Callithrix jacchus: one gene and its partners. The protein of the gene in region 6 purifies or fractionates together with the protein of the main gene of each other region. This does not show direct contact. Links are inferred from orthologs where the notes say so. Each region holds a gene or a part of one and is shown on either strand. Other genes may lie near its edges.

Region 1 (4,719 bases), on a different chromosome or scaffold from region 6:
AAGGTGTTGGGATTACAGGCGTGAGCCACCGAGCCCGACCACAGTCATTCTTTCTGATGCTCAAATTGCCCCATATTTGGCCATTAGGAACCTCCTTCAGGTTGGCGCCAGTGTCCTTTAGACACAACCCTAGTAGTCTTTTTTCAGATTCAACTTGTACATTTCCTCCTCCAGACTTCAACTGATCCACTTTTCTAAGGAGTGCTAATTCCTAAATGGGTGCTCGTTGCTATTACTATTTTATCTCAGTTTAAGGATTTTACAGTGGAAGAGGTTGGAGGTCTCTAGTAGAGAGTATTGCTGGAAATGAAAGCCTCCTCTCTCCGCTCCTGTATTTTGTTGTGGGGCTTCCATCTCTCAGGCCTTTTCACCTCCTCCAAACCTAGTGTGGAAAGGAGAACCAACCATAACTGAAATCAGCCTGAACCAGCCTTTGGAGGCCTTATTTCAGTATTCCTGAGGGCAGCCCCTAGCATTGGAGGATGGGAGGAGATCTTAAGAAAACTGTTCTTTTGGTTATTTTGCAAACTTTTTTATCCTGTCTCACCCCCTACACCCAGGTGAACCAGTGTGTTATTGGTACTGCCCAAGCCAACAGGAAGTGAAGACGGATCCAGATCTTGTGTGTTGGGGGTGTATGTGTTGGGTGAGGGGTGGGAGGGTTACTGAAGGGTGCTTTATTGGGTGGAGGGCGCCATGTCCCAGGGCTATCAAATAAAGAATACTTTTTTTTTTTTTAAATAAAGGTTTTCATTAGCATTTGCCCAAGGAGGCAGATACTTTCATATCTGTAAAGGTGGGACCTGTGATCTGTCCCTTCTGCAAAGTGTTTGTGTGGGAGGCGGGAGCGGGGGTTGAGGGCTTGGGCTTTTCTCCCTTCACCTGTCACCAGTTCTGGACCCTGGTCTGGATCATCTTCCCCTCTGCTAATGCCCCGTTCCCTGTCCGTCACATCGGGAGGTGTGCCCTCTAGCTATCCACGCCCCTTCCAACGTAACTAGTTACAGATTAAGTTTCACCCTTCCGCCCGCCACCTCATCCCCAGGGAGGGAACGGTCCTTTGGTGGGTGTCCGCAAATAGGGACCGGACCTCGGAGTCCCGAGGTGGGGCCGGCGCGCGCTCCCGAACTGCTGGCTCTTTCCTCCCGCCCTTTCCTTGCCTTTCTGTTCGAACCGCTGGGGCTCTGCCCGCCCGCTGCCCATTGGCTGGCTCTCGGTGGCGTCACCGCCTCGGGTACTAGCCCCCTTAGTCTTTGCGCCCGCCCTGGAAGTACGGGGCGGGACGTGCCCGGGAAGCGGCGCGCACGACCGCCGACTTCCTCGCGCCAACGGTCGACGGCCGCCGCCCGTGAAGGAGGGGCTCAGTCCTCCCAGGTGCCGCGCGCAGGAGGGGACACGCGTGCGCAAAAGGGCGGCGGGTGGGGCGCGACTAGCCACGGGGAGGGCGGGGCTGGGGCTAACAGCGAGTGGAGGGCGGGGCGCGCGAGGGAGGGCGTGGTGGGGGCAACGGGAAGGGTGAATGGAGGGCGGGGCCGCGAACTGGGGGCGGGGGGCGGGACTCGGCGTGACCATGGGGGGTGGGGCAGCTAACGGATGTGGCACGGGGCGGGGGACCAGTCCGGAGGCGGGCTGCCGCGAGGGGGGATTCCCTCCTGCCCCAAGGGCGAATCTCAGGTCTGAGGAAGGGGCTGAGGGGATTCCCTCTCCCACTGGGTCCGACTCTTCGCTCCCCAAACCGCGGAGGGCCAGCCTCTTGCTCGGCGCCCTCCAGGCCTGTTGGAGGTGAGGGAGGTGGGGTGAGGTGGTGCCCGGCCCCCCTCCGGCTCCTCCTTCCCCCCAGTCCTCCCCTCCCACCACCCTCCCCCCCAACCGGTCCGTCCCTCCCCTCCTTCCCCCCCGCCGCCTCCTCCTCCTGCCGCTGCCGCTGCTTTGGCTGCTGCGTCATACGCCCCAGAGCCGCCGGGACGGAGGGGCTGGGCCTGGGGACCCCCCGGCCTCCGCCTGCACGCCCCCCGACGCCCGGACGTGCCCTCTCCGCGCGGGGGACTCGCCTAGGTCTACTACGTCTGCCCCTGCCCAGCTCCCGGCGGCCCCAGCTGTCACCGGTAAGGAGGCGCCGGTGGGGGGCAGGGAGCCGGGGGTCGGCGCGGGGCGCGGGCGGGAGAGCCTCGTCGTCCTGGCCGCGGGGTCCTGGTTGGGCCGACGCAAGTCCCTTCTCGGACTTGCAGTCCTGGGGAGTAGAGACCGGGACTCGGACACGCCCCCCTCCCGGGGCACTCAGAGAAGTTGTCTAACCCGAGGGCAGGGAGCCCCGAATTTGAGGGTGACCTGACATAACCTGGCACCAGGATGATTGTTCTTAATGAGACACGCAGGCCTGGGGAGACAGCCGTTTCTGCCCTGGAAAACATCTCTAGAAAAGGTCCCAAAATACATTTCTGGGCAACAGGGCACCCTAATTATGGTACCTCTAAACTGAGGGGTAGCCTTTGCTTCTGCAAACGTAATTTCCCCTAAAATTTAAAGGCCAGGATATAATATCCCAGGAGAGCTCTGGAAGCTGTGAAACTAGAGAACTAGGTTTGGGTCGGGGGGAGGGCAGTTACCGAGAGTAGAGCCAGTCACTAGAGTTGGAAGAGTACTCAAGAAGCTGGTGATGGGTGCCCAGTGTTTTCCTATCCAGGTGTGTCAGGATTGGGAGTTGGGGGCACAGATCCTTCATTTTTGACGGCAAAATAGGCAAATAAAATGGGGAAGCTGGCTGGGCGCGGTGGCTCATGCCTTTAATCCCAGCACTTCGGAAGGCCGAGGTGGGTGGATCACAAGGTCAGGAATTCGAGACCAGCCTGGCCAATGTGGTGAAACCCCATGTCTACTAAAAATACAAAAATTAGCCGGGTGTGGTAGTGTGCACTTGTAATCCCACCTGCTTGGGAGTCTGAGGCAGGAGAATTGCTTGAACTGAGGTAGAGGTTGCAGTGAGTAGAGATCACACCATTGCACTCCTGGGCGACAGAGCAAGACTCCATTTCACACCACTGCACGCCTGGTGACAGAGCAAGACTCCATCTCAGGGAAAAAAAAAAAAAAAAAAAGAAAATGGGGAAGTTTTCTCAGCATTCATAACCTCTTCCCCATTTCTTTTCCGGCTAGCCCCCCCCAGGATGCAATGGCGCAGCCCCCCCGGCTGAGCCGTTCTGGTGCCTCCTCACTTTGGGACCCAGCTTCCCCTGCTCCCACCTCTGGCCCCAGACCTCGACTTTGGGAGGGTCAAGATGTGCTGGCCAGATGGACTGATGGGCTGCTATACTTGGGCACCATCAAAAAGGTAAGACCTTCTACCTCTGACCTTCTTCCTATTCCCCTTATCTAAGTCTGGTTCCCATTTCATTCTCTATGCTCACCCATTGCAGGTGGACAGTGCTAGGGAGGTGTGTCTGGTCCAGTTTGAGGATGATTCACAGTTTCTGGTTCTATGGAAAGACATTAGCCCTGGTAAGACTCTAGAGACCTGAGATTGCACATCACATGGAAAACAAACCTGGCTTATAGGAGAAGAAAGAGACTTAAGGGCAGGCCCCTGACACTGTGTTCTCTCATAGCTGCCCTCCCTGGGGAGGAACTCCTCTGTTGTGTCTGTCGCTCTGAGACTGTGGTCCCTGGGAACCGGCTGGTCAGCTGTGAGAAGTGTCGCCATGGTAAGAGGGCAGGTCACCTGAATGGTCCAGCTTGCTCTTCCCTCCAGCACAGTCCCTATGTCACCTGTCCTGGCCTTAGTCCCCAAGCCACTGTTCTGGCCAGGCTGCTTAGCCCTTAGTCCTCATCCCCTGTAAGCCCAGGGAAAAGCAGCCATAGAAAGGGTTGGTGTAACCTTTGCAGGTAGAGGATGATTTAAATGCATCCTTTCCTAACCGTATGACCTTGAGCAAGTCCCTAAATCTCTGGGAGCCTCAGTTCCTTGACTTGTAAAATAAGGAAAATGCACTCCCTCATCAAGACCATGGTCAAGGATTAAATGAGATGAGTAAAGACTATTCCAGTCCCAATACCCAGCACACACAGGTATGCAATAAGTGGTCTATTATTATCATTCTTCAGCTTATCACCAGGACTGCCATGTTCCCAGGGCTCCAGCCCCTGGAGAAGGAGAGGGCACATCCTGGGTGTGCCGCCAATGTGTCTTTGCAATCGCCACCAAGGTAAAGGCACCTCCCTGTTACCCCTTCCTGTGGGAGCCTCCCATCCACAGCCTTTCACAAGCCTTTCCTCTCCCCACCCCGCTGAGGCCACCCACCTGTTCTATCTCTGCAGAGGGGCGGTGCCCTGAAGAAGGGCCCCTATGCCCGGGCCATGCTGGGTATGAAGCTCTCTCTGCCATATGGACTGAAGGGGCTGGACTGGGATGCTGGACATCTGAGCAATCGACAGCAGAGCTACTGTTACTGTGGTGGCCCTGGGGAGTGAGTAATGAGGGGGAGCAGACTGTGCAATGAATGATGGCGGGGTGGACCCCAGGAAATGAAGGAGAAAGAACAGTGAGGGTAGCACTCAGGGGGTTGTGAAGTAAGTGATAAGCAGGTTTGGGACAGATATAGGGATGGTTGCAGTGAGTCGAGAGGCCAGAAGTCCTCTGTTTCCCCTTAGGTGGAACCTGAAAATGCTGCAGTGCCGGAGCTGCCTGCAGTGGTTCCATGAGGCCTGCACCCAGTGTCTGAGCAA
Region 2 (4,243 bases), on a different chromosome or scaffold from region 6:
GAAGTGATAACGGTGTTCCCTGTAATACAAACATCCTTGAGCACAGAGCTTTTACTGAATCTAGGTTTATTTTTTTAGAATGGAGTTCCAAACGGTTAATTAATTGATTTTATACTAAACACTGCTATAGGTGGTATGACCCAAAGGGTTCATAGAGTAAGAAAAGACCTATGTCATGGGCTTTTCAGCCTTGTGGGAAAGACAGAGAGGTTTGAGTGCTACAAAGCAGGGAAGAACTACAAAGCACGATGTAGTGGCGGTACTATCTTTTCCAGGGTATGAACACTTAAGTTCTTGATTACAAGTGTTTTTTTTATTTTATAATTTTTTTTTTTTTTTAAACATAAGAGATGGGTTTTCACCATGTTGGCCAGGCTGGTGACCTCAGGTGATCCGCCTGCCTCAGCCTCCCAGAGTGCTGCTGGGATTACAGGCATGAGCCACTGTGCCTGGCCCCCCTTTATTTATTTATTTACGTTTATATCTATCTATTTATTTATTTATTTTTGAGATGGAGTCTTACTCTGTCGCCAGGCTGGAGTGCAGTGGCACAATCTCGGCTTACTGCAACCCCTGCCTGGGTTCAAGCGATTCTTCTGCCTCAGCCTCCCGAGTAGCTGGGACCACAGGCGCGTGCCACCATGCCCGGCTAATTTTTGTATTTTTAGTAGAGACGGGGTTTCACCATGGCCAGAATGGTTTCAATCTCTTGACCTCGTGATCTGCCCGCCTCGGCCTCCTAAAGTGCTGGGATTACAGGTGTGAGCCACTTTTTTATTTTTTAATAAGATGAAGTCTTACCCTGTCTCCCAGACTGGAGTGCAGTGGCTCTGTCTCGGCTCACTGCAACCTCCATCTTCTGAGTTCAAGTGATTCTCCTGCCTCAGTCTTCAGAGTAGCTGGGATTACACGAGCCTGCAACTATGCCTGGCTAATTTTTGTATTTTTAGTAGAGATGGGGTTTTACCACATTGGCCAGGCTGGTCTCGAGCTCCTGACCTTGTGATTCACTCACCTTGGCCTCCCAAAGTGTGGGGATTACAGGCGTGAGCCACTGTGCCCAGCCCCAAAAGTGTTTTTTTAACAATGCATGAAAATGATGTTTTGCAAATTGTTTTATGATTTTTTTTTTCATTTCATTATTAGGTAATAGCTAAGAGAAAAGAAGATTCTGGGAAGATAAAACTTTTGCTTCATTGGATGCCTGAAGATATGTAAGTATTTGAAATACCCTGTGTAACATTTAATAAGTTTATGTTTTATTTTTTTAAAATCCTAAGCACAAAAATTATTTGTTATTAAATTCAAACAAAAATTACATTGTAAAACATTTTGAGGTTGTCAGGATTAAAGAGATAATCTGAAAAGTCTTAGACTATCTGGTTTACCTTACAGGCTTTGAAACTTAAGGTTTTTTTGTTTAAGCTGGGAGCTGTGGCTGCCACCTGTAATCCCAGCACTTTGGGAGGCCAAGGCGGGTGGATCACTGAGGTCAGCAGTTTGAGACCAGCCTGGCCAACATGGTGTAACCCCATCTCTACTAAAAATGCAAAAATTAGCTGGGTGTGGTGGCATGCACCTGTAATCCCAGCTACTCGGGAGACTGAGGCACAGGAAGAAGTAGTCGTAGAAATTTTTAATCATTTTTAGGATTTTTAGGGACCTCCAAGCAGTATACAAGCAGCCATAACTGTGCCTTTGTTTGAATCATTTATTTTAAAAATTTGTAAATGTTCTCTAGCATACAATGAATGATATTTTATAGAAAAAGCAGTTGACCAAAAGAAAAAAAATTCTTCTGATTGTGGTTTTGCTGTACATCAAAAAAAAAAAAGGCAATTGACTAGTTTTCTAGCAGTGATTACATTTTTTTGAGTTTTAGTGCCTATTCATAGCACTTTTGACCTAGATGTTTCTCAGTTCAGATATTTCATGTTTAATTTTCTTTTTATCTTTTTAATTAAAATTTTCATTTTATAAAAAGGAAATCAGGGTATCTTACAGAAATTTTGGACAAAATTTTTAAGTATCAAGAATTGAATAAATGTAATTGAAAGAGATTTTATTATGCATACCAAATTCACATATGCGGCCAATAGCTGGGCACAGTGGTTTATGCTGGCAATCCCAGTGCTTTGTGTGGCTGAGGCAGGAGGATCGCTTTTAGGCCAGGAGTTTGAGATCAGCCTGGGCAACATAGTGAGACCTCGTCTCTACAGGAAAAAAAACAAAAAACAAAAAAATTAGCTGGTTGTGATGTTGTCGCCTGTAGTCCCAGATACTCAGGTGGCTGAGGTGGGAAGATGGATTGAGCCCAGGAGGTTGAAGCTGCATTGAGTTGTGATTGAATCGCTGCCCTCAAGACTGGGTGACGGGGCGAGACCCTGTTCCAAAAAAATCAAATTTAGATGTGTGTATTCTAATGTTTTGAAAGTTGATTAATCCAAATATCAAAATACATTTATTTTAATTTTCTTACAGAGTTGAATTTTTTTGAATTTAGTATTGTAGCCACATGCTTTTTTTTTTTTAAATGGAGTTTAATCTTCCAGGGTTTTTATCTATTTATTTATTTATTTTTGAGACAGTCTTGCTCTGCCGCCCATGTTGGAGTGCAGTGGTGCACTCTTGGCTCACTGTAACCTCTGCCTCCTGGGTTCAAGTGATGCCTTGGCCTCGGGGGTAGCTGGGATTACAGCTGTGTGCCACCATGCCCAGCTAATTTTTGTATTTTTAGTAGAGATGGGTTTTTACCATGTTGGCCATTCTAGGCTTGAATTCTTGGGCTCAAGTGATCTTTCCCACCTTGGCCTCCCAAAGTGCTGGAATTATAGGCATGAGCCAACATGCCAGACCCTTTTATTTCTCTCTCAGTAAAGAAATTTGCTAGCTTCCGGGAAACTTGGCTTCCGGGAAACTTGTTCACTTAATATGGACAGAAAATGCCAGAATGTGCAGGCACAGGAAGTGTCAATCTAAAATGAATGTTATCTTACCGTTGACTTGTTTTTTAATTCATAGTCTGCCTGATGTGTGGGTGAATGAAAGTGAACGACATCAGTTAAAAACTAAAGTAGTTCATTTATCAAAGCTACCCAAAGATACTGCCTTGCTTTTGGACCCAAACATATACAGGTAATTTAATTCTTGCCTTTATGTTTTACTTTTTGAATTGTAATTTTCTCTCCCCCAAATTTGGATAAATTAGGACTTAGTTTTCAGAACCGAATTTTAATATCAAGCATATCTTACTACTTCCTGGCATTTTTTTCCTTTGGTGTGTGGACTCACAAAAAGTTTAAAAATTGTACAATCCAGGAAAATAGTATTTTGCTAAAGTTTATATGCTTGTTTAATCCCAGATTTATCTTAAGTAGTAATTTGAAGATAAATGCCCTTTTAACAAGGTAATTTCTTACATAGTAACAGACTTTTGTGGACCTAATACGTTGCATGAGTCTGAAATACCAAAACTGTTTTGATTTTTTTTTTGAACTTACACTTTCTCCAAACTTTCTGAAAGAGCAATTCAAATATTATTTGTTTGTTTTTTTATATGTAGCTTAGAGTGTTCACATTTCTAGTACTTTTATGATTTGAGTTTTTTTAGTGTACTATGCTTATAAAGGTATGGGGGGAAGGAGAAGAGACCAGAATTTCTGTCTGTGTGCTAAGTCACTTTGCTAGGTGCTTTGTATACTTTATCCTCACGGCTGCTCTGTGAGGTAGGTTTTACTGTCTCTGCTTTACAGATTGGAAAACTGAGGCAAGAGGTTAAATAGTCTACCTAAGGTCTACAGAATGTGATTGAACTCCATGGTGCCTCTATCCAAATGAGGTACATTAGAGTGATTTAAAAAGTGGTGGCAATGCTTAAAACCAGCTTTTAAAAGGCAGTCTTACCGAAAGGGCTTTATGTCTTTTTGAATGAAACTTTGTGTATTTTAGCTGTTGTAAAGATAGCTAATTTTATAGTGACACTTTGGAGGACGTATTCATTCCATGATGTACTTTCTGAGTGTTACTCACATAGACTCCTGTAATTTGAGACATTATTCTATGAGTGAAAGTCTAACTATAGACATTTCCATGTGGAAACAGTTTTCCCTACCACAAAAAAGGTGTTTTTGGGTGGGCCCAGTGGCTCATGCCTGTAATCACAGCATTTGGGACGCTGAGGCAGGCAGATTGCTGAAGTCTAAGAGTTCAAGACCAGCCTGGGCAACATAGCAAGACCCTATCT
Region 3 (4,243 bases), on a different chromosome or scaffold from region 6:
GATGATCAGAAACTTATGATGTGAGTAGAATCCATTCAGGGTTTTTTTCTAAATATATCGTCTAAGTTTTAAGTTTAGTCACCATTTCAAGATTTTTTTCCTTTTTTCCTTTCCACTGAAGTTGGGATACTCGTTCAAACAATACTTCCAAACCAAGCCACTCAGTTGACGCACACACTGCTGAAGTGAACTGCCTCTCTTTCAATCCTTATAGTGAGTTCATTCTTGCCACAGGATCAGCTGACAAGGTCAGTTTGGTTTATTTTAAAAGAAAACATAATTTCTCCAGCTTCTTTTGAATTGCAGAGATATTTTACTTAAAGTATTTTCTTATTTTAAAAAATTGATTACTCTTTTCTTTTTGTAGACCGTTGCTTTGTGGGATCTGAGAAATTTGAAACTTAAGTTGCATTCCTTTGAATCACATAAGGATGAAATATTCCAGGTAAAGGAAACTAATGCTGCTAATTTTTTTTGTTTTAAGAACCTAAATTGGGCGCGGTGGCTCATGCCCCTAATCCAAGCACTTTGGAGGCCAAGGTGGGCGGATCACCTGAGGTTGGGAGTTCAAGACCAGCCTGACCAACATGGTGAAACCCTGTCTTAAAATTAAAAAAAAAAAACCTGAATGTGTAATGGGCACACATGTGCTACATGCTGTTGGTAAAAATAGAAATCTGTATGCCTATGCTACTTTCTGTGGGAAAGTTTTTTCTTTGTTATTTCTATACTTTTTCATACTGGTTATTGACCACATACATTCTACAGGTACTAAGAAAACTAGGCCAGGTTTGGTGGCTCAGGCCTATAATCCCAGCACTTTAGGAGGCTGAGATGGGCAGATCACTTGAGGCCAGGAGTTTGAGACCAGCCTGGCCAACATGGCAAAACCCTGTCTGTCTGTCTGTCTGTCTGTCTGTCTGTCTGTCTGTCTCTGTCTCTGTCTGTCTCTCTCTCTCTCTCTCTCTCTCTCTCTCTCTCTCTATATATATATATATATGTGTGTTATTTATTTATTTATTTTTTGAGATGGAGTCTCACTCTTTTGCCAGGCACCAAGTTGGAATGCAGTGGTTAGATCTCCGCTCACTGCAGCCTTTGCCTCCTGGGTTCAAGCAATTTTCCTGCCTTAGCCTCCATGCCCAACTAATAGGTGCACGCCACTATGCCCAACTAATTTTTGTATTTAAGTAGAGATGGGGGGGTTTCACCATGTTGGCCAGGTTGGTCTCGATCTCTTGACCTTGTGATCCACCCGCCTCAGCCTCCCAAAGTGCTGGGATTACAGGTGTGAGCCACCATGCCTGGCCCCTGTCTCTATATTTTTTAATAAAAATTTAAAAAGAGAAAAACTAGTGCCTGATTATTTTTTTCAGCCTTGCTTCTGGCACTTAGTGGTCTCTTCCCTTGTTCCAATATATTCTTCATCCTTCATTGCATGCCACATTATTGGAACACTAAGCATGTGGGAGTTGTTTATCCTACTGCTGAAGGTCATCACCAAGGTCTGATTGCAAAAATGTAAAAAAATAATTGTTACACTACCTTCAAAGCTTGTTGCTAGGTTATTGTGAGAGATTACATTGTAGTCTTTGATGTCCAAGAGGCCCTCCTCCCACCCACGTCGTCGTCCCCACGCCCTTGCCCCTGCCTTTCTTTCTTTCTTTTTTTTTTTTTTTAAGATGGAGTTTGCTCTTGCTGCTCAGGCTGGAGTACAGTGGAGTACAGTGGTGTGATGTCAGGTTGAAGCAGTCCTCCTGCCTCAGCCTCCTGAGTAACTGGGATTACTGGTGCATGCCACCACAACCAGCCAATTTTTTTATTTTTGGTAGAGACAGAGTTTCACCATGTTGGTCAGGCTGGTCCTGGACGCCTGACCTTAGGTGATTCACCTACCTCAGCCTCCCAAAGTGCGAGGATTACAGGCATGAGCCACTGTGCCCACCCGTAAAATAAATTCTTTGGCTTTTAATTTTAACTGTAGTGTCTATAATACTTTGACTTCCTCTTCGTTTTTATTTCATTTTTAAATCGTTAAATATTTTGTGATTTTTTTTTTTTTTTCCCCTTTGTTTTCATGGCTTTGCTGTTTCTTTCATTCCTGTGCGTAGGTTCAGTGGTCGCCTCACAATGAGACTATTTTGGCTTCCAGTGGTACTGATCGCAGACTGAATGTCTGGGATTTAAGGTAATTCATGTATTCATTACTCTGTATATATAATTATTTCCTTTATTGACACTTTGCAAAGGTAATTTTAAATTATGCTTTTGTGCTAGTAAAATTGGAGAAGAACAATCCCCAGAAGATGCAGAAGACGGGCCACCAGAGTTATTGGTATGTTACAGGCACCGAACAGTACTGAAATAAGTCTATAATTTAATGTCCTCTCTCTGCATTTAACATCTTTATTTTCTTCCTTACAGTTTATTCATGGTGGTCACACTGCCAAGATATCTGATTTCTCCTGGAATCCCAATGAGCCTTGGGTGATTTGTTCTGTATCAGAAGATAATATCATGCAAGTGTGGCAAATGGTAAGGATCATTTATTTGGGGGAGGTGAGATGAGAAAGCCATTGAATCAATTTACATTTATATGTTTTATGATTACAGCTACCATCTGTGTTCATTTTACTCCCAGGTGTGATTTTTTTGGGGGTAGGGGAAGGCAGGAAGGGAGGGAAGGAAATCAGGCAATGAGAGACATTGCCGACCTGGATCTAGAGGTTTACAAGTTGATTTATTTTTTAATTAATTAATTTATTTTTTATTGAGAGAAGGAAAGAAAAAAATGAGTAAACGAGAGGGAGAAAGAGGAAGAGAAAGAGGGAGGGTGGATGGAAATATTGCTTTATTCTGAAAAAAAAAATGGGTATTAATAATGGCCAATCAGTGTTTCATTTAAACCTATGAGTAGGTGTGATGTGGTTTTGACAAGAATGTATATTTTGTGTATTTGAAGTGGAGAGCTCTATAAATATTTATTAAGTTTACTTGTTCCGGATCTGAGTTCAAGTCCTTGATATCCTTACTAATTTTCTGTCTCATTGAATCTAAGTCTCTATGTATCTGGGTGTTAGGATTGTTAGCTCTTGTTGTTGCATTGATCCTTTTACCACTATATCTTTGTTGTTTTAAAATCTATTTTATCTGTGCAACTCCTGCTTTTTATTTATTAATTAATTTATTTTTGCTCTCCATTTGGTTGGTAAATCTTTCTCCATCCCTTTGTTTTGAGTCTTTGTGTATCCTTGCCTGTGAAACAGGTCTGGATGTAACATCCCGTTAGGTTTTGGCTGTGCCTTTTGATTGGGGGATTTAGTCGTTTTAAATTTAGGGTTACTGCCATTTGATGTTAACTGGCTGTTTTCTCCATTCGTTGATGTAAATTCTTCTTTATGTTGGTGCTCTTTACTTTTTGGTATATTTTTAGAAAGGTTAATACTGGTTGTTTCTTTCTGTGTGTCATGCTTCTTTCAGAAGCTCTTGTAAAGCAGGCCTGGTGGTAATAAAATCTCTGAGTACTTGCTTGTTCGTAAAAGATTTTATTTTTCCTTCAGTTGTGAAGCTTAGTTCGGCTGGATATGAAATTCTGGGCTGAAGGTTCTGTTCTTTGAGGATATTGAATATTGGCCCCCACTCTCTTCTGGCTTGTAGAGTTGGTCTGCTGAGAGATCTGCTGTAAGTCTGATAGGCTTGCCTTTGTGGGTAACCTGAACTTTCTCTCTGGCTGCCCTTAGTATTTTCTCCTTCGTTTCCACCTTGGTGAATCTAACGATTATGTGCCTTGGGGTTGCTCTTGAGGAATATCTTTGTGGTGGTCTCTGTATTACCTAGGGTTGAATATTGACCTGCTTTGCTGGTTTAGGAAAATTTTCGTGAATAATATTCTGAAGGGTATTTTCCAGCTTGGATTCATTCTCTCCATCGCATTCAGGTACACCTATCAAATGTAAATTTGGTCTTTTCACATAGTCCCACATTTCTTGCAGACTTTGCTCATTCCTTTTTATCCTTTTTTCTCTAATCATGTCTTCTTGTTTTATTTCATTAAGTTGGACTTTGACCTCTGATATCCTTTCTTCTGCTTGAACAATTTGAGTGTTTAAACCTGTGCATACTTCTCAGAGTTCCTGTATTGTATTCTTCAGTTCCATTAATTCATTTATGTTCCTCTCTAAGTTGTCTATTCTCAATAGGATATCATCAAACCTTTTTTCAAAGTTCTTAGTTTCTTTACATT
Region 4 (4,243 bases), on a different chromosome or scaffold from region 6:
GGCACTCATTTTGGTGTCTACCTCCATAAGGGGCCCAGTGCCCACCTGCCGTCAGAGGAAGAATTTACAGTTGTCAGCCAGAGACCACCCGTGACTCTGGGAGCTTGAGACCTGGAGTGAGTTGCCGAGTCTCAGACCCCATTAGGTCCTTCCTGTGGAGACTGATAACAGCTTCCTCATTGATGTTACCCCACACCTCTCTTCTCCACAACCAGCCCAGCCCAGTGTCCTGCCATTTAGTGGGAGTGGAATTCAGGCTTCTGTGCCCGCATCCTTGGTCTTGCTGATGTGCCAGGAACTCGTTCTCGTGCTATGTCTGCTGAGGCAGTTCAGACACTTCACCTGGTGGGCCCCGCTGTGCTTGGTGTCTGCAGGAACCCTGCCTGGATGGGATCTGTGCCCACTTTCCCTTTTATTATTTAAAAACAATATATCTCCACACTCCAAAGATGTAAAGCTTTCTTAATTTTTGCTTTGTTTAGCATTTTATGGATGATTATTTTGGAAGATTCCCCCCTCCCCTCTCCCTTATTGGCCCGAGAGAGGTTGCTTTTTCAGTTCCCATCTGGAGAACCCACTAGGTGTGCATTAAACCTGTTGAGGGTTAATATGCATTTGCGCTCCTCTGTGACCTGATCAGGAGGGGCCCTGAGCACCAGCTTACTCACTGAGGAGTAGCCTCATGGGCAAGGGACAAGGCTAAGGGACAGACAGACTGCCCTGTGCCCTCACGCAGTCGTTGCTCTTTGCTCCCGACATCCAGTCAGGTTGAAGATAGACTTCCTTTGTGTGAATGAGTGGGTGGGTGTTGGGGCTTTCAGAAGGGAACTTGGGAATTGCTAGGAAAGGTGTGTCTGTAATTTCCAACATCAGATATTCCAGGTTATGCTGGGAAGTGGATGCAGCTGGGACCCCTGCCCGCTCCTCATCTGGGATCTTCTCATGACCCCTGCCTCCATGTGAGAACGCATGCACTAGTGCGTTGGGATGTTTCTCTCCTTATGTCCGTCTGGCCAGCTCTATTCCTCTTCCAGCCAAGCCCCAGCTTTAATGCTGCCTCCTGAGACACTTGTCACCTAAGATGGTGGCCCCTTGTTCCACTCGATCTTCATCGCACATGGCCGTGACCCATCACTGTGTAATGCCTGTCTCTGTAGACCAGAAGCCTACCATTTCCATTGTCTCCCCAGAGGCTGCCAGTGTCCTGGCTCATAGGAGGAGTTCAGGAATTACAGGTTGAATGAGGAACATCTTGTTCGTGTCCCTTTCACTAACTATCCCGTTTTTCCCCCTTCACCGTCCCAGGGGGCTGCGAGCTCGACCTGGCCTGCTTTTTCCGGCTAATTAATGAGATGGGCGGCATGCAGCAAGTGACTGACCTCAAAAAATGGAACAAACTAGCAGACATGCTGCGCATCCCCAGAACTGCCCAGGACCGGCTGGCCAAACTACAGGAGGCCTACTGCCAGTACCTGCTCTCCTACGACTCCCTGTCCCCCGAGGAGCACCGGCGGCTGGAGAAGGAGGTGCTGATGGAGAAGGAGATCCTGGAGAAGCGCAAGGGGCCACTGGAAGGCCACACAGAGAACGACCACCACAAGTTCCACCCCCTGCCCCGCTTCGAGCCCAAGAATGGGCTCATCCATGGCGTGGCCCCCAGGAACGGCTTCCGCAGCAAGCTCAAAGAGGTGGGTCAGGCCCAGTTGAAGACCGGCCGGCGGCGACTCTTCGCTCAGGAAAAAGAAGTGGTCAAGGAGGAGGAGGAGGACAAAGGCGTCCTCAATGACTTCCACAAGTGCATATATAAGGTAGGGGCCTGTGTAGAGCAGCCAGCGCTGGCGGCAGGAGTGCAGGTGGCACGAGGAAACAGGGCGTGCTGTGTGCTGGACAGTGCACCCTCTGACTCCCTGGGGTGATGAGGGAGGGAGCGGGCCACTGTGCTGGATGAGGGCGTGGTTTTTTTGTTGTTTTTGTTTCTAAGACAGTCTTGCTCTGTGGCTCAGGCTGGAGTGCAGTGGTGCAGTCTTGGCTCACTGCAACCTCTGCCTCCTGGGTTCAAACAATTCTGCCTCAGCCTCCCGAGTAGCTGGGACCGCAGGTGCATGCCACCACACCCGGCTAATTTTTTTGTGTGTTTTTAGTAGAGATGGGGTTGCACCATGTTGGCCAGGATGGTCTTGATCTCTTGATCTCATGATCCGCCTGCCTTGGCCTCCCAAAGTGCTGGGATTACAGGTGTGAGTCACCTCTCCCGGCCAAGGGCGCTCTCTTAGTCCACTTCATGCTGCCGAAATAGCACAGACTGGGCAATTCGTAATGAACGGAAATGTATGGGCTCATGGTTGTGGAGCCTGGGAAGTCTGATATCCAGGAACCTGGTGAGGGCCTTCTGGGTGCATTGATGGAATGTTGGTGCAAGGTCGGGCAGTGAGAGACCCAGTAGGGAGGGGACGTCCACTCCACGAAGACACCACGAGTCCATTCCTGCGTGCCCAGGGCCTCAGGGTTCCTTTTCGTTAGCTGGCTTGTGTGTGCATGTTGCATGCACATGCACATGTCCTCATCTGCCAGGGATAAGTACCGGGGCTGCATGCTTCGCTTCCCCTGCGTCCCCAGTTCTTTTTGCACCTGTCTCATCCTGGTGCATGACAGCTGCCCAGACACAGCTGACCTCACTGGCTGGACCCTCAGTGGACTCTGCACGCTTGTTTTCTCTGCGTCCTCATTTCCATCCGCTCAGCTTACTGCCAGCCCAGCAGTGCCAGGTTCTTTCTGTGGACGGTCATCCCTGATAAAGCCATTCCAGTGGATCTTGCCATTCACACTCTGGAGGGAAGAGTAGGGGAGAAACAAGCTAACTGAAATACGCGTGTTTCCCCCTCCGCCAGTTCTCACCGCAGCACAGTCATCCTGAGGAAACTTACCTCCCGGAAGCAAGGGAAGCAGAGTCGCTGGCTCTCCTCCTGGCGCCCCTCCCAGCTGGCCTGGCAGTGAGGCCAGACTGGGGGCTTCTCCGGCATGCGAGTGGGTTGCGGGGCTCCCGGGGCCCAGCTGGACAAGCCCAGCTATGACCTGCAAGTTGAGGTCTCTGCTGAATTGCCCGACACAGACTTGCCCTCTGTGGTCCTAGTTCTGGATTCACTGGGAGGGAAGTGTTCTCTGCTTCCAGCCCTGGTGAGCCTGGCCAGAGTGTGTGGGCATTGGCTGTTGTTCATCCCAGAACCCCGCCACACCCTCAGGTGCCCACGGCTGCCTGACTGCAGGCTCTGGCCTAACCTTGTAGTTGAGGCAGTGTGGGCTTCTGAGACCATCACACGTCTTGGAAACGGAGGGATAGCTGACGCCACCACCTGCATCGCCGCTCCATTTTACGTCCAGGCCCCGCAGACTGCCTCAGGCTGCATCTCATACACTTGACGCTTCTCTGGAAAGAGGTTCCCCAGTCTTTCTGTCCTGAGACCCTGAGAGGGTTTGGCCTTTTATCTGAGTCTCGTTTCCTGTTTCCAAGGCTGCCTGGTGGGGGCATGTGGGGGTTGCAGGATGCTGCCTGCCAAGACCCAGCTGCCTTGTATTTGACTGGTCGGTGTTCTTAAGAAAAGAGAAAGTGTGACCCAGATACTGTAAGCTCTGGGGAACTTTTATTTGGTGTTTCCTGAACGTTTTAATGAGAAGCCTTTGTCAAGTAAAGCCACTCACTGAATCCTGTGACTCTGGATAGCCAACTGGTGAGATGAGATACTGTCAACGTTTTCACTTTTTACTGAAGGAGGCCAATTGTATGAGTGTTTGCTCCGAATAAGAGGTTTGGGTTTTTAAAAACATACCCTGTCAAGGATATTTCTAGATTTCATCACGGAAACATAGTGGACCTCTGCCTGGTGGCCGTGGCGAAGCCCCGAGGCAGCCGTGTGCCCATGCGGTGGGGACCCTGAGCGTGCAGCTGTCTGCGGCCCTGGTGTCCTGGCTGCTGACTTTTGTGTGCTGGCGTCATCCTCACTTCCACTCATTGTACTCTGCACTGGTGCAAAATTCAGTCCCTCCTTGTAGTTACCTTTGTTTGTTACAAGAAACAGTGTCGGCAGTGGCTTGGAATTGCATGAAGTATGTTCCTGTAGTTAGCACCCCATCTAGTCCCTTTGGAGCTAGAAAGAAAGGCCCAAGGTAGCATTGCCATGCTGACTGTTGACTGTGGACCTGACTGCTGGAAGCGTCTGCTGCTCCCTCTTCTGGCCCTGTCACTTGT
Region 5 (4,243 bases), on a different chromosome or scaffold from region 6:
GTTAGGGATGGCTTTGAGCACCGGTGAGGGCAGTGGAGAGCCCCAGAAGGTTTCTGGAAGGAGATTGGTGGCCCTGAGGAAGAGTCTGGTGGAAAGGCAGGAATGCAGGAGCAGCCTATATAGCACTGGGTGCTGGTAGTACCCGTTCCCCAACCCAGGTGCCTAGTGGAGGTGAACACAAGGCCCAGGAAACTGTTATTGAGTGAATGAGTGAATGAATGAATGACCCAAGCAAAAGATGAGGCCTGAACTCAGACCAGCATGGGAGGATGGAAGCTAGAACCGGAAAGCCAGAAGTCATGGCACTTAAAATGGGCAGACTACGGCAGCTCATTGCTTGGAGGAGTTTGAGATGCATGGAGGCAATGCCACTAGCAGGGAGAGAGGAATCCATGGGCAAACTGCATGCTGCTGAAAAGGATGGTGAGAGACAGGTGTGGAGAGGTTGGCATGGAGATGACTTCACTGCTTGGAGCAAATGTATATCTAGGTGAAAGCATAAGTGAGTTTAAATGTCCCAGAATTGGTTTCCATTAAATCATCTCGTAATTGACAACAGAAGGGGGATTACAAAAGACAGATGACCCCTCTACACTAGTTACAAGCCACCCAGGAGTTTTCCTTTCTAGGTGAGTTTTCTCTGGACAGATCGCAGGGAAGGGATGGTTGCAGGGGTTGGGGTTTAAAAAAGAAGAAAGAAAAAAAACCCAGCTGCTCCCCTGGATAAGACCCTCCATCCAGAGTACATGGAGTGTGTTTGCCTAAGGAATAAAACCTCAGCCTCCTGAGACAGGGAGTATGGTTCAAGCCCGCTGGGTAGGGGACTTTGTTCTGTGTAGGTTGAGAGATCTATTCACTTTAAAAGACAGTGTGGTATGGGCCGTGGCTCTGCCTTTGGCACATCAGCCTCTTCTCCTTGCCATACCTCAGTTTCCCTGTCTGTAAGATGTGAATAATATCTTCCTCATAGGATGGCCATGAGGAACCAGTGAGATAATAAACAAGCCTGGCTTATAGCACAGGATACAGAAATGCTGATTTCCTTCCTTCCCCTGATGGGCTTTCTGAAGCAGGGAAGCAAGAAGTGAAAACTCTGTTCTTTCTCTCCCAGTGTCAGGGGAAGCTGATGGAGAATCGAGCTCTGGATCCAGGGACTCGGGACTCCTATGGTGCCACCAGCCACCTCCCCAACAAGGGGGCCCTGGCGAAGGTCAAGAACAACTTCAAAGACCTAATGTCCAAGCTGACAGAGGGCCAGTATGTGCTGTGCCGGTGGACAGATGGCCTGTACTACCTCGGGAAGATCAAGAGGGTAAACCCATCCTCTCTGGTGCCTGTTCTCAGGCTCAGCATCTCTCTGCTCATGTTCCAGCTTGGCTCTCAGACTAGGGGCGGACAGGGGGATTGCTAGGGAATTCCCTTCTTGTCCCTCATGACCAAAGCTGGTGGTGGGAGGGACCAGAGCCTGGTCTTGCAGGCACCATCCAACCAGTTCTTTAGAAAAGTACTTGGAGGCCAGGCGCAGTGGCTCACGCGTGTAATCCCAGCACTTTGGGAGGCTGAGGTGGGCAGATCATGAGGTCAAGAGATTGAGACTATCCTGGCCAACACGGTGAAACCCCATCTCTACTAAAAATACAAAAATTAGCTGGGCTTAGAGGTGCACGGGAGGCCAAGGTGGGAGAATTGCTTGAACCTGGGAGGTTGGGGTTGCAGTAAGCCAAAATCGCACCACTGCACTCCAGCCTGGCAATAGAGCAAGACTCCATCTCAAAAAAAAAAAAAAAAAAAAAAAAATGAAAAGTGCTCTGAGAACCTACAAAACCAAAAAGTCAGGTTCGAGAGGATCACAGAGGACCATCTGAATTGTGCTTTGGTCCTCAGCGTTCTGACCAAGTTGTCATCAGCCAGTAACTGGCTAGGAGCCTACCATGTCTAGGAACTGCTATCATCCTTCCCCTTCTAGCTCTGCTTTCTGGAGCATAAGGAGACAAAAATGGGGAAGGAAGACTATAATCCAGGTTGGCTTTTCCCTAGCCCTTTCTCACTTGCTTCTTCCTATCCATGCCCCAGGTCAGCAGCTCTAAGCAAAGCTGCCTCGTGACTTTCGAAGATAATTCCAAATACTGGGTCCTATGGAAGGACATACAGCATGGTAAGTTTTCTTAAAATTTCGAGTAGCCCCCAACCTCCCCAGCTTTTCTCTGCTGCCTTCATTTCTTCCTTCTTTCCTTCCATCTCTTACTCCTGGCATCTGCCCTTGTCCATGAACCCCAAGCCCACCTGAGGTGATGATCAAATCTGGTTGTACATTGACTTGGCAAGGTACTTAGGACATGAGTCGTCCCCTTGAGAGTTCATACACCAGGAAGGAGGCTGGGCAGGTGGAGAAGGTAGCTCAGGGAGGTTCTTGGAGGGCCAGGACTGGGCCTCAGGCCTGTGTTTGCTTCCTGGCTGCACTGTATCACCAGCTGCTCAAAGCTCTGAGTCCAATAATTGCTTTCCATTTAAATGTCCCAGAATTGGTTTTATTTAAATGTCCCAGTCTAGGCTAGAAAGCGAATGTGCCCAGGTAATCAGAATTGTCAGCTCTAGATGCAAGCACAGTGTCCCTGATTTAACATGGGAATAAAACTAGTGGAAGCAGCCGTCTCCACGGGGCAAGGAATTCGCGGCAAATGGGAGAAAAACCAATAAAGCAGAGATGAGCCAGGCAGAGTGAAGACAAACATGCCTGGATGGAGCTAGACCAGCTTTCAGGGCTGAAAGGAAGCTGGGTTGGGTACCATCCCTGTCCTTAGAAAGCTGACATCTCTTCCTTACAGAGATGGCAAATCAGGGCCGTGTTTGCCACCATTATCCCTTCCCATGCACACAATAGATATCAGGAGTCATTGACAACACATGTGCACATGTGCTTTCAACGTGGAGTCCGAAGCAGCTACTACCTGTCAATCAGAGTTGGCATGAGAGGAGAAACCTATTTGCCATTTATACTCTAACAGGAGAAGAGGCACGGCCCCTAGTGGGGGAAGAAGCAGGTTTTAGGGTCAGGTAGACCTTGAACCAAGTTCCAGCTTTGCCACTTACTAGCTGCATTTGCCAGAGCAAGTAATACGACCTCTCTGGGTCTTAATTTCTTTAGGTGAAGGAAGGTGATAGTGAAAGTACTGGCTTCATAGAGTGGTTGGGAGGCTTAAGTGAGCTAATCCATGTAAAATGCTTAGCTCAGTGCTATTGGTTAGAGAGAGGCTGTTAATCAAGAATTTGTTACTAGCCAGGTGTGGTGGCTTATGCCTGTAATCGCAGCACTTTGGGAGGCTGAGGTGGGTGAATCACCTGAGGTCAGGAGTTCAAAACCAGCCTGGCCAACATGGTTAAATCCTGTCTCAACTAAATATACAGCTACCCAGGAGGCTGAGGCAGGAGAATTTCTTGAACCCAGGAGGTGGAGGTTGTAGTGAGCTGAGATCGCACCACTGCATTCCAGCCTGGGCAACAGAGTGAGACTCCATCTCAAATAATGATAATAGTAATAATTTGTTACTGTAAGAGATGATTCCAAGAAGCCTGCCACGTAGAGGCCACAGAACCCAGCTGGTTAGTAAAGCTTTCAAATTGCCCCTTTCTCCAAGAAGCAGTGACCAGTGGAGACCGATTTTTCTCCAAATCCTGAAATGTATAAAGATCCAAAGCAATGAGGCTCTTCTCTCCTGGTTTACCTCCTTATTGAAAGCACAAAGAGGCGGATGGAGAAGCCCATTCACCTTAGCTAACCTATGTAGGCCCACCACATGCCAGGCTCCATGGAGGTACCACAGTGATCAGCTGAAGAATAGCTTTACTCCTAGCCAGAATTGCCCCTTCTGGGCACCCGCTGGCATCTCCCGAGGTGAGAGCATAAGGCTGAGCACAACTGTAATTATTGATCCATTGCTTCATTAGGCCAATGAGGACTTACCGAGACACACTGTGGGCACCATCTTCCTGGGAGCATGTTCAAGAATAAGAGGCAAGCTTCCTGCCTGGCCATATTTTCAACAAACTTGTCTTTGAACACCTGTTACATGCCACACTGTATGAGGTCCTAGGGATACGGAGATGAAGAGATATCATTTCTGCTCTCACAAAACATTTAACGAGCTGGGGAAATAAGTTAGAAACACACATCAAAATGTGTTTAATGTATTCATACAAACCTTTCACACATAAAAACGTAGTCTTCAACCAAAATAAAATGCAA
Region 6 (4,243 bases):
ACAGAGTCGACTCTCTATCGATTACTCCATCGACAGAGTAATCCTTTCTGAATTCTCTAAATGCAGGCTGCTACAAAAACAACTGAGGCAACAGTTGTGTACATAGTCTTTTCATTTGGACCTTTGTGCTGACTCCTACTAGGATTATTTGTGGTTTTGATAATCAGTCCTCTCTAAATACTGCCATTGCTTGTCATCTGCCTGGTGACAGATAGCAGTACTACTGGTTGGAATGAGGTCAAGGTTTATAGAAGGGAATTATCTCTTAGGATAAAACTTCAGAATAATTTTACTTGCTTCTTGGGGGTTTTAGAATGACTGTATTCTCTGCTGCGCACCCCACTCCCCCAAAAGTATTTACTATTGTTTATTGCCAGAAAGTATCTATAGCCTGGGCTGCAGATGACCTTAAATGCTCATTGAGTGTGATTGGCATGAGTTGTAATCAAATTGTTTTTTTATTATGGGAGAATCTTAGTCTGTTTTATAGGATTCCCATCGGTCTTATGATTGCCCAGTTTATTTTGTAGTTAAATTGCAGATTATAATCTTAGACGCTTTCTTTTTCTTTTTCTTTTTTTTGAGACAGAGTCTTGCTCTGTCACCAGGCGCCAGACTGGAGTGCAGTGGCAGGGTCTTGGTTCACCGCAACCTCCGCCTCCCGGGTTCAAGCAGTTCTCCTGCCTCAGCCTCCTGAGTAGCTGGGACTACAGGCGGGTGCCACCATGACCAGCTAATTTTTGTATTTTTTTTTTTAGTAGAGATGGGATTTCACCATGTTGGCCAGGATGATCTCAATCTCTTGACCTCATGATCTGCCCGCCTTGGCCTCCCAAAGTGCTGGGATTACAGGCATGAGCCACCGCGCCTGGCAGAAGCTTTCATTTTTATTTATCTATTTATCTCTCTACTTATGAAAACAATTAGAAACTTTTTACACTGTTGTTTGGGTGATGTTTGTACCTGTTTCATAAAGATGTTTACTGGATAAAATGAGATAATACATGAAAGCACTGCAAAAAATATACCGTCAAATTCTCGGCGTTGGTGAAAATATCATTGTTACTATCAAGCTAAACATTTGGTAGTTAATATTATCAACTAAACAGATCTTTTTTTCTAAGCATGACATTACTCCTACCATTTGAGATTTTTGTTTGTTTGTTTGTTTGTTGTTGTTTTGGAGATGGAGTCTTCCTCTGATGCCAGGCTGGAGTGCAGTGGTGTGATCTCGGCTCACTGCAATCTCTGCCTCCTGGGTTCAAGCGATTCCCCTGCCTCAGCCTCCTGAGTAGCTGGGACTATAGGTGCATGCCATCACACCTGGGTAATTTTTTGTATTTTAGTGGAGACAAGGTTTCACCATGTTCGCCAGGATGGTCTCCATCTCCTGACCTTGTGATCCACCTGTCTCAGCCTCCCAAAGTGCTTGGATTACAGCTGTGAGCCACTGCTCCCGGCCCCATTTGAGATTTTTTTGGCAAAACAAAATGGCCAGTTCAATGCAGAAAACTTTTGAATAAAGGCATTTTTTAGGAGACTCAAGCAGCAAACAAAGCTCAGCAAAGATTCTGCTAAATAGGAAAGAGGAGCTGCATCATGGCTTCATGGAATGAATTACATCCGATTTGATTTCAGGTAGAAGATGAGACGGTTTTGTGCAATATTCCCTACATGGGAGATGAAGTGAAAGAAGAAGATGAGACTTTTATTGAGGAGCTGATCAATAACTACGATGGGAAAGTCCATGGTGAAGAAGGTAGTGGTGCTGAACTCTGGGAGAAAATTTTGTTAGAATCAGGCCTCTTCTTTGGCATCTGATCATCTTGCCATTTTGCTTTTATCTTCTGCCACGTGGGGTACACACTAAAGAATATTTCAATGTCATCACATGTCTGGGTGTTAATTTTTTTATTTTTAGTTTTTTAGAGACAGGGTCTCATTTGGTCACCCAAGCTGGAATGCAGTGGCATAATCATAGCTTATTGTAGACTTGACCTTCTAGGCTTAAGTGACTTTCCTCCTTCAGCCTCCTGGGTGGCTAGGACTACAGGCATACTCCACCACACCTGGCCAAATTTTTTGTAGAAATGGAGTCTCACCACATTGCCCAGGCTGGTCTTAAACTCCTGGCCTCAAGCAATCTTCCCACGTTGGCCTCCCAAAGCCCTGGGATTACAGGTGTGAGCCACCAGCCTGGCCCAAAATACCCTAGTTATTTCCTTTTTTGCTTTTTGTTTTTTATTACCCTAGTTATTGCTGATTCAAGCAGCAGAAACAGAAATAAAAATTATTTAAAGTACCCTAGTTAAATTTTAAATGGAGTTGGGACATGAAAGGATTATATAGTAATCAGTGGCTGGAGAGGAAGTTTATTATATAAATAAGTTTAATCTTAGAACTTAGGAGTTTTCCATAAGTACATCCAAGACCATTTTGTTCTTTATTTCTCTTTCTCTGAGAATAGTAATGAGCCTCTCCGTCATACTTCTTTGATCCAGGTATCTCCTGGATCTCCCAGAAGTTGATTTTAATAATCTGAATTTCCTAAAAGCAAATTGTTTGGATTTAGTTGTAATTCTAGAAAAGTCTGTCCATGTCTAAGAAATGGAAGGAGGAGAGACTCCCCATCAATTTGTAAACTAACAGCCTCACCTGCTCTTCTGACAATTGTGAGGGCTGTTGTGATGCTGTTGAACTACATTATTTGTCCTCAGTGCCTCCTAGTGTTCAAAAACCTATATTGTAGTAGTTCTCCATAAAGTACAATTTTAGGAAAAAGTTCTGTCTTTTGATTTAGAGATGTCATTACTGACTCATCAGCTGCAAAGCCAATAGAATTTTCATTTTATTTTTTTTCTTTGTCCTACTGGAGATTGTGTAACACTTTTTTTTTTTGAGATGGAGTTTCACTCTTGTTACCCAGGCTGGAGTGCAATGGCACCATCTCAGCTCACTGCAACCTCCACCTCCTGGGTTCAAGCAATTCTCCTGCCTCAGCTTCCCAAGTAGCTGGGACTACAGGTGCGTGCCACCATGCCCAGCTAATTTTTTAATATTTTTAGTAGAGACAGGGTTTCACCATGTTGACCAGGATGGTCTCAATCTCTTGACCTCGTGATCCACCCGCTTCAGCCTTCCAAAGTGCTAGGATTATAGGCGTGAGCCACCACACACAGCCTGTTTGACACTTTGTGAGATTTTGAACCATAAATTCAGATTTGACTTGTGACTGAGAAAGTGAAGTTCTTCAGTAAGAATTAAGCCTATAACTGTATTCCTACTCTAGCCAGCTGAACTTGCATGTGTAGGAGCCAATCAAATGACTGTAATTTCCAGAAATCCCATATAAAAATGTACACCTGTTACTTATCTGGGCCTCTGGAGTGAGTACAAGAAAACCTGCCTAGGAGGACTCATGGAATGCAAAGTGATCACTGCTCATCCTTCTAATCCTTTTGTTTCAGAGATGATCCCTGGATCCGTCCTGATTAGTGATGCTGTTTTTCTGGAGTTGGTAGATGCCCTGAATCAGTACTCAGATGAGGAGGAGGAAGGGCACAATGATACCTCAGATGGAAAGCAGGATGACAGCAAAGAAGATCTGCCAGTAACAAGAAAGAGAAAGCGACATGCTATTGAAGGTACATAGCATGGGCTCCCTTATTCTGTTTTTAAAGTGATGGTGATAGGGAAGAAGGAAGAATGGAAAGGTTTGTTGCCTATTAAAGGCTGTCGGTCCTTTTTGTTGGTTTACTTAAAAGGAGACAATGATCATTAACTGATAGCTGCAGATAGCTGTGACTTAGGTGAAGAATAAACTAGAAGAACTGATAGAATAATCATTGTTATTCATTTCTAATTATATGTGTTATGTGAAATTGGGATCATGCCAATATATATATGTATATATTAAATTTTGTATACCTTTTTATTTACTCTTATGAACACTTTTCCATGTCACTAATGTTTAATTTAAAATTTAATAGTTTAATTATACTCTATGTTATTTAATTATACTATATGTCCAGGGACATAGTGTATTCTCTCTTATTATATCATAATTATAGTATCAGTCAGTTCTTCAGTATCCACTTTATGGTAAGATTCTTCTATGTTCAGATCTCTCCATGAACACTTCTTTCACTTCCAAATTCTTATTTTTATTTTTTAAATTTATTATTTATTATTTTTTTGAGACAGAGTCTTGGTCTGTCACCCAGGGTGGAGTGCAGCGGCACAA
Region 7 (4,243 bases), on a different chromosome or scaffold from region 6:
CCAGGCCCCAGTCTAGTTTACTTCTTACCTGCCTGGCTCCAGTAGGCATTTGTGTTAGTTTTCCTTGACCTGACACACAGGGTGAGTTAAAATGGAATGTGCAAAGAAAAGGCAATATAGGTCAGGAAGAAATAACACAATTGTAATGTGAACCGTCCTATCTTTTTACATGTCAGCAACTAATTCAAGTTTTTAATCTATGAGCACAAAAAAGAACGTCCTTGTTTGCCGCTCTTTGCTTAGATGTTCTCTACTTGTATTCTTTCTGCTAATATGTTGCTACTTCTTGGAAGTTATCATACTTTTTATATGGCTTTGTTACTTTACAAGGCCTTTTTCATGATTATTTGATACTACAGTCTTATTCACACACCAGATGGAGAGGTTAACCTTGGCACTGCACTAGCAGCTAAACCAAGTATGCTAGCAGGGCCAACATATGTGTGTTTAGGGATGGGTAGGGGTTAGCATGGGTTTTTTTATTAATTTACGGATGCTCCTGACTTTAGACTCATAGAATGTTCATACTCCTAAGGGTAAAACCTTTCCTGTTTTGTTGAATCCTAAAATAAGATGCTAATTCAGTGCAGCGCTTCCAAATGAGTTATATTTGAACTAAAAAACTGTTGGTCTGCTTATTATATGGTTCTTTGAAATCTCAGTGAATATATCATCTTCATAACTGAAAGAGGACAGTTGTTTTAGATCCAAGGTGGAACCGAATTAAGTTGCATAAGGCAGCTACCAATATTTTTCAATGAAAATGGGAATAAATTGATGTGGCAAATGAGCTCACATTTTTTTGATTTTTCTCTCTCTATGTATGTCTCTGTCTTTGCCTTGTCAATTTGTGTTGTATTCTGCCAGGTCAAAATCTGTTAGGTTGATTAAAATAAGTGATTTGTGAATTTTAATCCTGATTGTGTGTGTGTGTGTTTATTTCTTTCTCCTCACATTAGAATTTGGTGGCTTTGGTTCTGTAACAGGAAAAATTGAATGTGAAATTAAAATCAATCATGAAGGAGAAGTAAACCGTGCTCGTTACATGCCGCAGAATCCTCACATCATTGCGACAAAAACACCATCTTCTGATGTGTTGGTTTTTGACTATACAAAGCACCCTGCTAAACCAGGTATGTGGTAAAGTCAGGCCATTGCTTGAGCAGTTTTCTTGATTCAAACTGGTAATGTTTTTAAGGTCAAAGTAGCATACTTTATAATGTTTAAAGATTTAAAAGTTGCTTTGGAGGGTCCCATAATCATCCTCAAGTTAAGGAATTTGCCAGAACTGCCTAAAAGCAGTTTATACTCAGAGCTAAAATTTATTACAGCAAAGGATTCAGAGCAAAAGTAGGAGGAAAAAGATACACATCAGGGGGAGTCCAAAGAGGTTAGCTACAGGTGTGTGGGTCCTTCCCATCTAGGGCCACATAGGACATGCTTTGTCTCTAGCAGCAAACCACAGGGACATTTGCTAAATGTTTCTATCGAGGGCAGCCCATTTAAGTTTCAGAATCGGGGGTTTTTGTGGAGGTCTGTTTGCGTGGGCGCATCCTGTTCTTTGACTAGCCATGATAACAAAAGTGAGGCCTCCAACAGTGAAGCCAAATGCATTGTGAATCTTGCTAAACAATTCTACAAGTCTTAACAAGTCCCTGTGACATACCCCACTGCTCTGGGCTTACACAACTTTATCAGTCAGTGACGCGAAGGACTTTCTGAGGGTCACATTCCCAGAGGTTGTCCAAGGGTCACTTATGAATCAGGATACCCTAGAGGCATGCAAGGAGTGAGCAACCAGACCTGCTGTATTAGAAATACTTCTAAAAATTGGGAGGTGGGGGATGGGTTACCACTTCCCAGATTTGTGGGATAGCTATAGTTTTCAGTGTTTTTGTGTTGAGGGTAGTAGGTTTTCCAAAGAAACCAATCATTTAATGGTTCTGAGGCTCAATTTGTGTTGGATATTAAAAACAAAGCCAAGAGAACAGCTTTTTAAAGTGGTTATGGGTCAGACCAGATCTTGTTCATGTGCAGTTGCTGTAATGGCTCACTCAATGAAGGAGTGAGAATTTATTCTCACAATTTCTGATAAACAGAGAATAACTTAATATTTTTCTTTTCTTAGACCCAAGTGGAGAATGTAATCCTGATCTCAGGTTAAGAGGTCACCAGAAGGAAGGCTATGGTCTCTCCTGGAATTCGAATCTGAGTGGACATCTCCTAAGTGCATCTGATGACCATGTGAGAAACGTATTCTTTGTAATCTGTTCATATAGTGGGAGCTAAAGTATCACAGCTGTACTGAAGGAATACTATATAGATGAAAGGCTTTCTAAGATAATACTGCTGATTATTGTGATAACATTTCCCTGGGACTTAGAGAGATGGTTTTCATACTGCCCTATATGAGTCTTCAGATTCCACAGAGCTCTTTTGAATTAGCCTTAGAACGGAGGGAGCATAGGCAAAAGGCCTTCCATTATTTAAAAGAGGACCCTCCAGGCCCTTATAATGGAAACTGTAGAGTGTTTGTGGGGCCTGATTGATATAAAGTATTTTTAATTGTACAATTCAGTGGCTTTTAGCATATTCACAAAGGTGCACAACTATTGCCACTAATTCTAGAATATTTTCATTCACTCTCGAAAAGAAATTCTATACCCATTAAGCAGTGACTCCCCACTCATTCCCTGCTATCCCCTAGCTCCTAAGCACTACTTTATTTTCCATCTCCATAGAGTTATCTATTCTTGATATTTCATGTAAATGGAATCACATATGCAGCCTTTCTGTTTGGCTTCTTTCACTTAGCATAATGTTTTTTTGTTGTTGTTTTTTTTTTTTTTTGAGACAGAGTTTCGCTCTTGTTACCCAGGCTGGAGTGCAATGGCACGATCTCGGCTCACCACAACCTCCGCCTCCTGGGTTCAGGCAATTCTCCTGCCTCAGCCTCCTGAGTAGCTGGGATTACAGGCACATGCCACCGTGCCCAGCTAATTTTTGTATTTTTAGTAGAGACGGGGTTTCACCATGTTGACCAGGATGGTTTCGATCTTTTGACCTCGTCATCCACCCGCCTTGGCCTCCCAAAGTGCTGGGAATACAGGCGTGGGCCACTGCGCCCAGCCAGCATAATGTTTTCAAGTAACATTTCTTATGTTCCATTCCTTTTTATGGCTTAACAATATTCCATTGTATGGATATACCACAGTTTACTTATTCATTTATCAGTCGAACCATTTGAGTTCTTTCTACTTTTGGGCTATTTTGAATTATGTTATGAACATTTGTGTACAAGTTTTCGTGTGGATGTATGTTTTCATTTCTCTTGGATACATACCTAGGAGTGGAATTACTGGGCCATATGGTATCTCTGTTTAACTTTTTGAACAACTATCAAACTGTTTTCCAAAGTGGCTTTCCATATTACATTTCCACAAGCAATGTACAAATGTTCCGGTTTCTCTACATCCTCACTAGTGCTTGTCTTTTTTTTTTATTATAGCTATCCTAGTGTGTGTAAAGTGGTATCTGCTGGGTTTCTTTGTTGTTGTTTTTTGGGGGGGGGTGGGGGAGGGGTTTTGTTTTGTTTTGAGACAGTCTGGCTGTGTTGCCCAGGAGCGCAGTGGCACAATCTCAGCTTACTGCAGCCTCCACCTTCTGGGTTCAAGTGATTCTCCTTCCTAAGCCTCCCAAGTAGCTGGGATTACAGGCATGTGCCACCAGGCCCAGCTAATTTTTGTATTTTTAATAGAGACAGGGTTTCACTATGTTGGCCATGTTGGTCTTGAACTGCTGGGCTCAAAAGATCCTCCTGCCTTGGCCTCCCAAAGTGCTGAGATTGACAGGCATGAGTCAGCACACATGGCTCATTGTGGTTTTAATTTGCATTTCCCTAATGACTAATGATGATGAGCATATATTCTTTTATTTATTGGCCATTTGCATATCTCCTTTGATGAAATATGTATTCAAATTCTTTGTCCATATTTTGTCTTTTTATTGTTGAGTTACAAGAGTTTCTTATGTATTCTAGGTATAAGTCCCTATGGTTTTCAGAAATTTTCTCCCATCCTGTGAGTTGTCTACCTTTTTTTTTTTTGAGGCAGGATCTTACTCTGTCACCCAGGCTGAAGTGTAGTGGCACATTCTTGCCTCATTGCAACCTCCGCCTCTCGGGCTCAAGTGGTTCTCTACTTCAGCCTCTCAAGTAGCTGAGACTACAGGTGTACAGTGAATT

The links.
Region 1: the proteins of EZH1 (region 6) and PHF1 purify together in Homo sapiens (affinity purification with mass spectrometry; 5 studies listed by BioGRID and IntAct, with this or other methods). This does not show direct contact. The link is inferred for Callithrix jacchus from reciprocal best matches to the Homo sapiens genes EZH1 and PHF1.
Region 2: the proteins of EZH1 (region 6) and AEBP2 purify together in Homo sapiens (affinity purification with mass spectrometry; 3 studies listed by BioGRID and IntAct, with this or other methods). This does not show direct contact. The link is inferred for Callithrix jacchus from reciprocal best matches to the Homo sapiens genes EZH1 and AEBP2.
Region 3: the proteins of EZH1 (region 6) and RBBP4 purify together in Homo sapiens (affinity purification with mass spectrometry; 4 studies listed by BioGRID and IntAct, with this or other methods). This does not show direct contact. The link is inferred for Callithrix jacchus from reciprocal best matches to the Homo sapiens genes EZH1 and RBBP4.
Region 4: the proteins of EZH1 (region 6) and JARID2 purify together in Homo sapiens (affinity purification with mass spectrometry; 4 studies listed by BioGRID and IntAct, with this or other methods). This does not show direct contact. The link is inferred for Callithrix jacchus from reciprocal best matches to the Homo sapiens genes EZH1 and JARID2.
Region 5: the proteins of EZH1 (region 6) and PHF19 purify together in Homo sapiens (affinity purification with mass spectrometry; 4 studies listed by BioGRID and IntAct, counting the BioPlex papers as one, with this or other methods). This does not show direct contact. The link is inferred for Callithrix jacchus from reciprocal best matches to the Homo sapiens genes EZH1 and PHF19.
Region 7: the proteins of EZH1 (region 6) and RBBP7 purify together in Homo sapiens (affinity purification with mass spectrometry; 4 studies listed by BioGRID and IntAct, with this or other methods). This does not show direct contact. The link is inferred for Callithrix jacchus from reciprocal best matches to the Homo sapiens genes EZH1 and RBBP7.

The regions. Positions count from the first base shown.
Region 1 is NC_133505.1:41,643,395-41,648,113, forward strand, and holds the start of PHF1 (PHD finger protein 1), read left to right. Parts: upstream 1-1,572; 5' UTR 1,573-2,105; intron 2,106-3,153; 5' UTR 3,154-3,169; coding exon 3,170-3,328; intron 3,329-3,413; coding exon 3,414-3,495; intron 3,496-3,602; coding exon 3,603-3,698; intron 3,699-4,098; coding exon 4,099-4,199; intron 4,200-4,311; coding exon 4,312-4,460; intron 4,461-4,644; coding exon 4,645-4,719. Other genes in the region: kinesin-like protein KIFC1, read left to right, coding at 561-605; uncharacterized protein LOC128931737, read right to left, coding at 358-382, 1,091-1,572. UniProt on the Homo sapiens protein: Polycomb group (PcG) that specifically binds histone H3 trimethylated at 'Lys-36' (H3K36me3) and recruits the PRC2 complex. Involved in DNA damage response and is recruited at double-strand breaks (DSBs).
Region 2 is NC_133510.1:3,958,628-3,962,870, reverse strand, and holds part of AEBP2 (zinc finger protein AEBP2), read left to right. Parts: intron 1-1,146; coding exon 1,147-1,214; intron 1,215-3,021; coding exon 3,022-3,135; intron 3,136-4,243. UniProt on the Homo sapiens protein: Acts as an accessory subunit for the core Polycomb repressive complex 2 (PRC2), which mediates histone H3K27 (H3K27me3) trimethylation on chromatin leading to transcriptional repression of the affected target gene.
Region 3 is NC_133508.1:69,258,911-69,263,153, forward strand, and holds part of RBBP4 (histone-binding protein RBBP4), read left to right. Parts: coding exon 1-20; intron 21-121; coding exon 122-248; intron 249-367; coding exon 368-445; intron 446-2,111; coding exon 2,112-2,188; intron 2,189-2,277; coding exon 2,278-2,335; intron 2,336-2,424; coding exon 2,425-2,535; intron 2,536-4,243. UniProt on the Homo sapiens protein: Core histone-binding subunit that may target chromatin assembly factors, chromatin remodeling factors and histone deacetylases to their histone substrates in a manner that is regulated by nucleosomal DNA.
Region 4 is NC_133505.1:15,226,116-15,230,358, reverse strand, and holds part of JARID2 (protein Jumonji), read left to right. Parts: intron 1-1,305; coding exon 1,306-1,808; intron 1,809-4,243.
Region 5 is NC_133502.1:169,276,569-169,280,811, reverse strand, and holds part of PHF19 (PHD finger protein 19), read left to right. Parts: intron 1-1,111; coding exon 1,112-1,312; intron 1,313-2,073; coding exon 2,074-2,155; intron 2,156-4,243.
Region 6 is NC_133506.1:121,169,048-121,173,290, forward strand, and holds part of EZH1 (histone-lysine N-methyltransferase EZH1), read left to right. Parts: intron 1-1,638; coding exon 1,639-1,759; intron 1,760-3,467; coding exon 3,468-3,644; intron 3,645-4,243.
Region 7 is NC_133524.1:17,115,385-17,119,627, reverse strand, and holds part of RBBP7 (histone-binding protein RBBP7), read left to right. Parts: intron 1-959; coding exon 960-1,133; intron 1,134-2,128; coding exon 2,129-2,244; intron 2,245-4,243. UniProt on the Homo sapiens protein: Core histone-binding subunit that may target chromatin remodeling factors, histone acetyltransferases and histone deacetylases to their histone substrates in a manner that is regulated by nucleosomal DNA.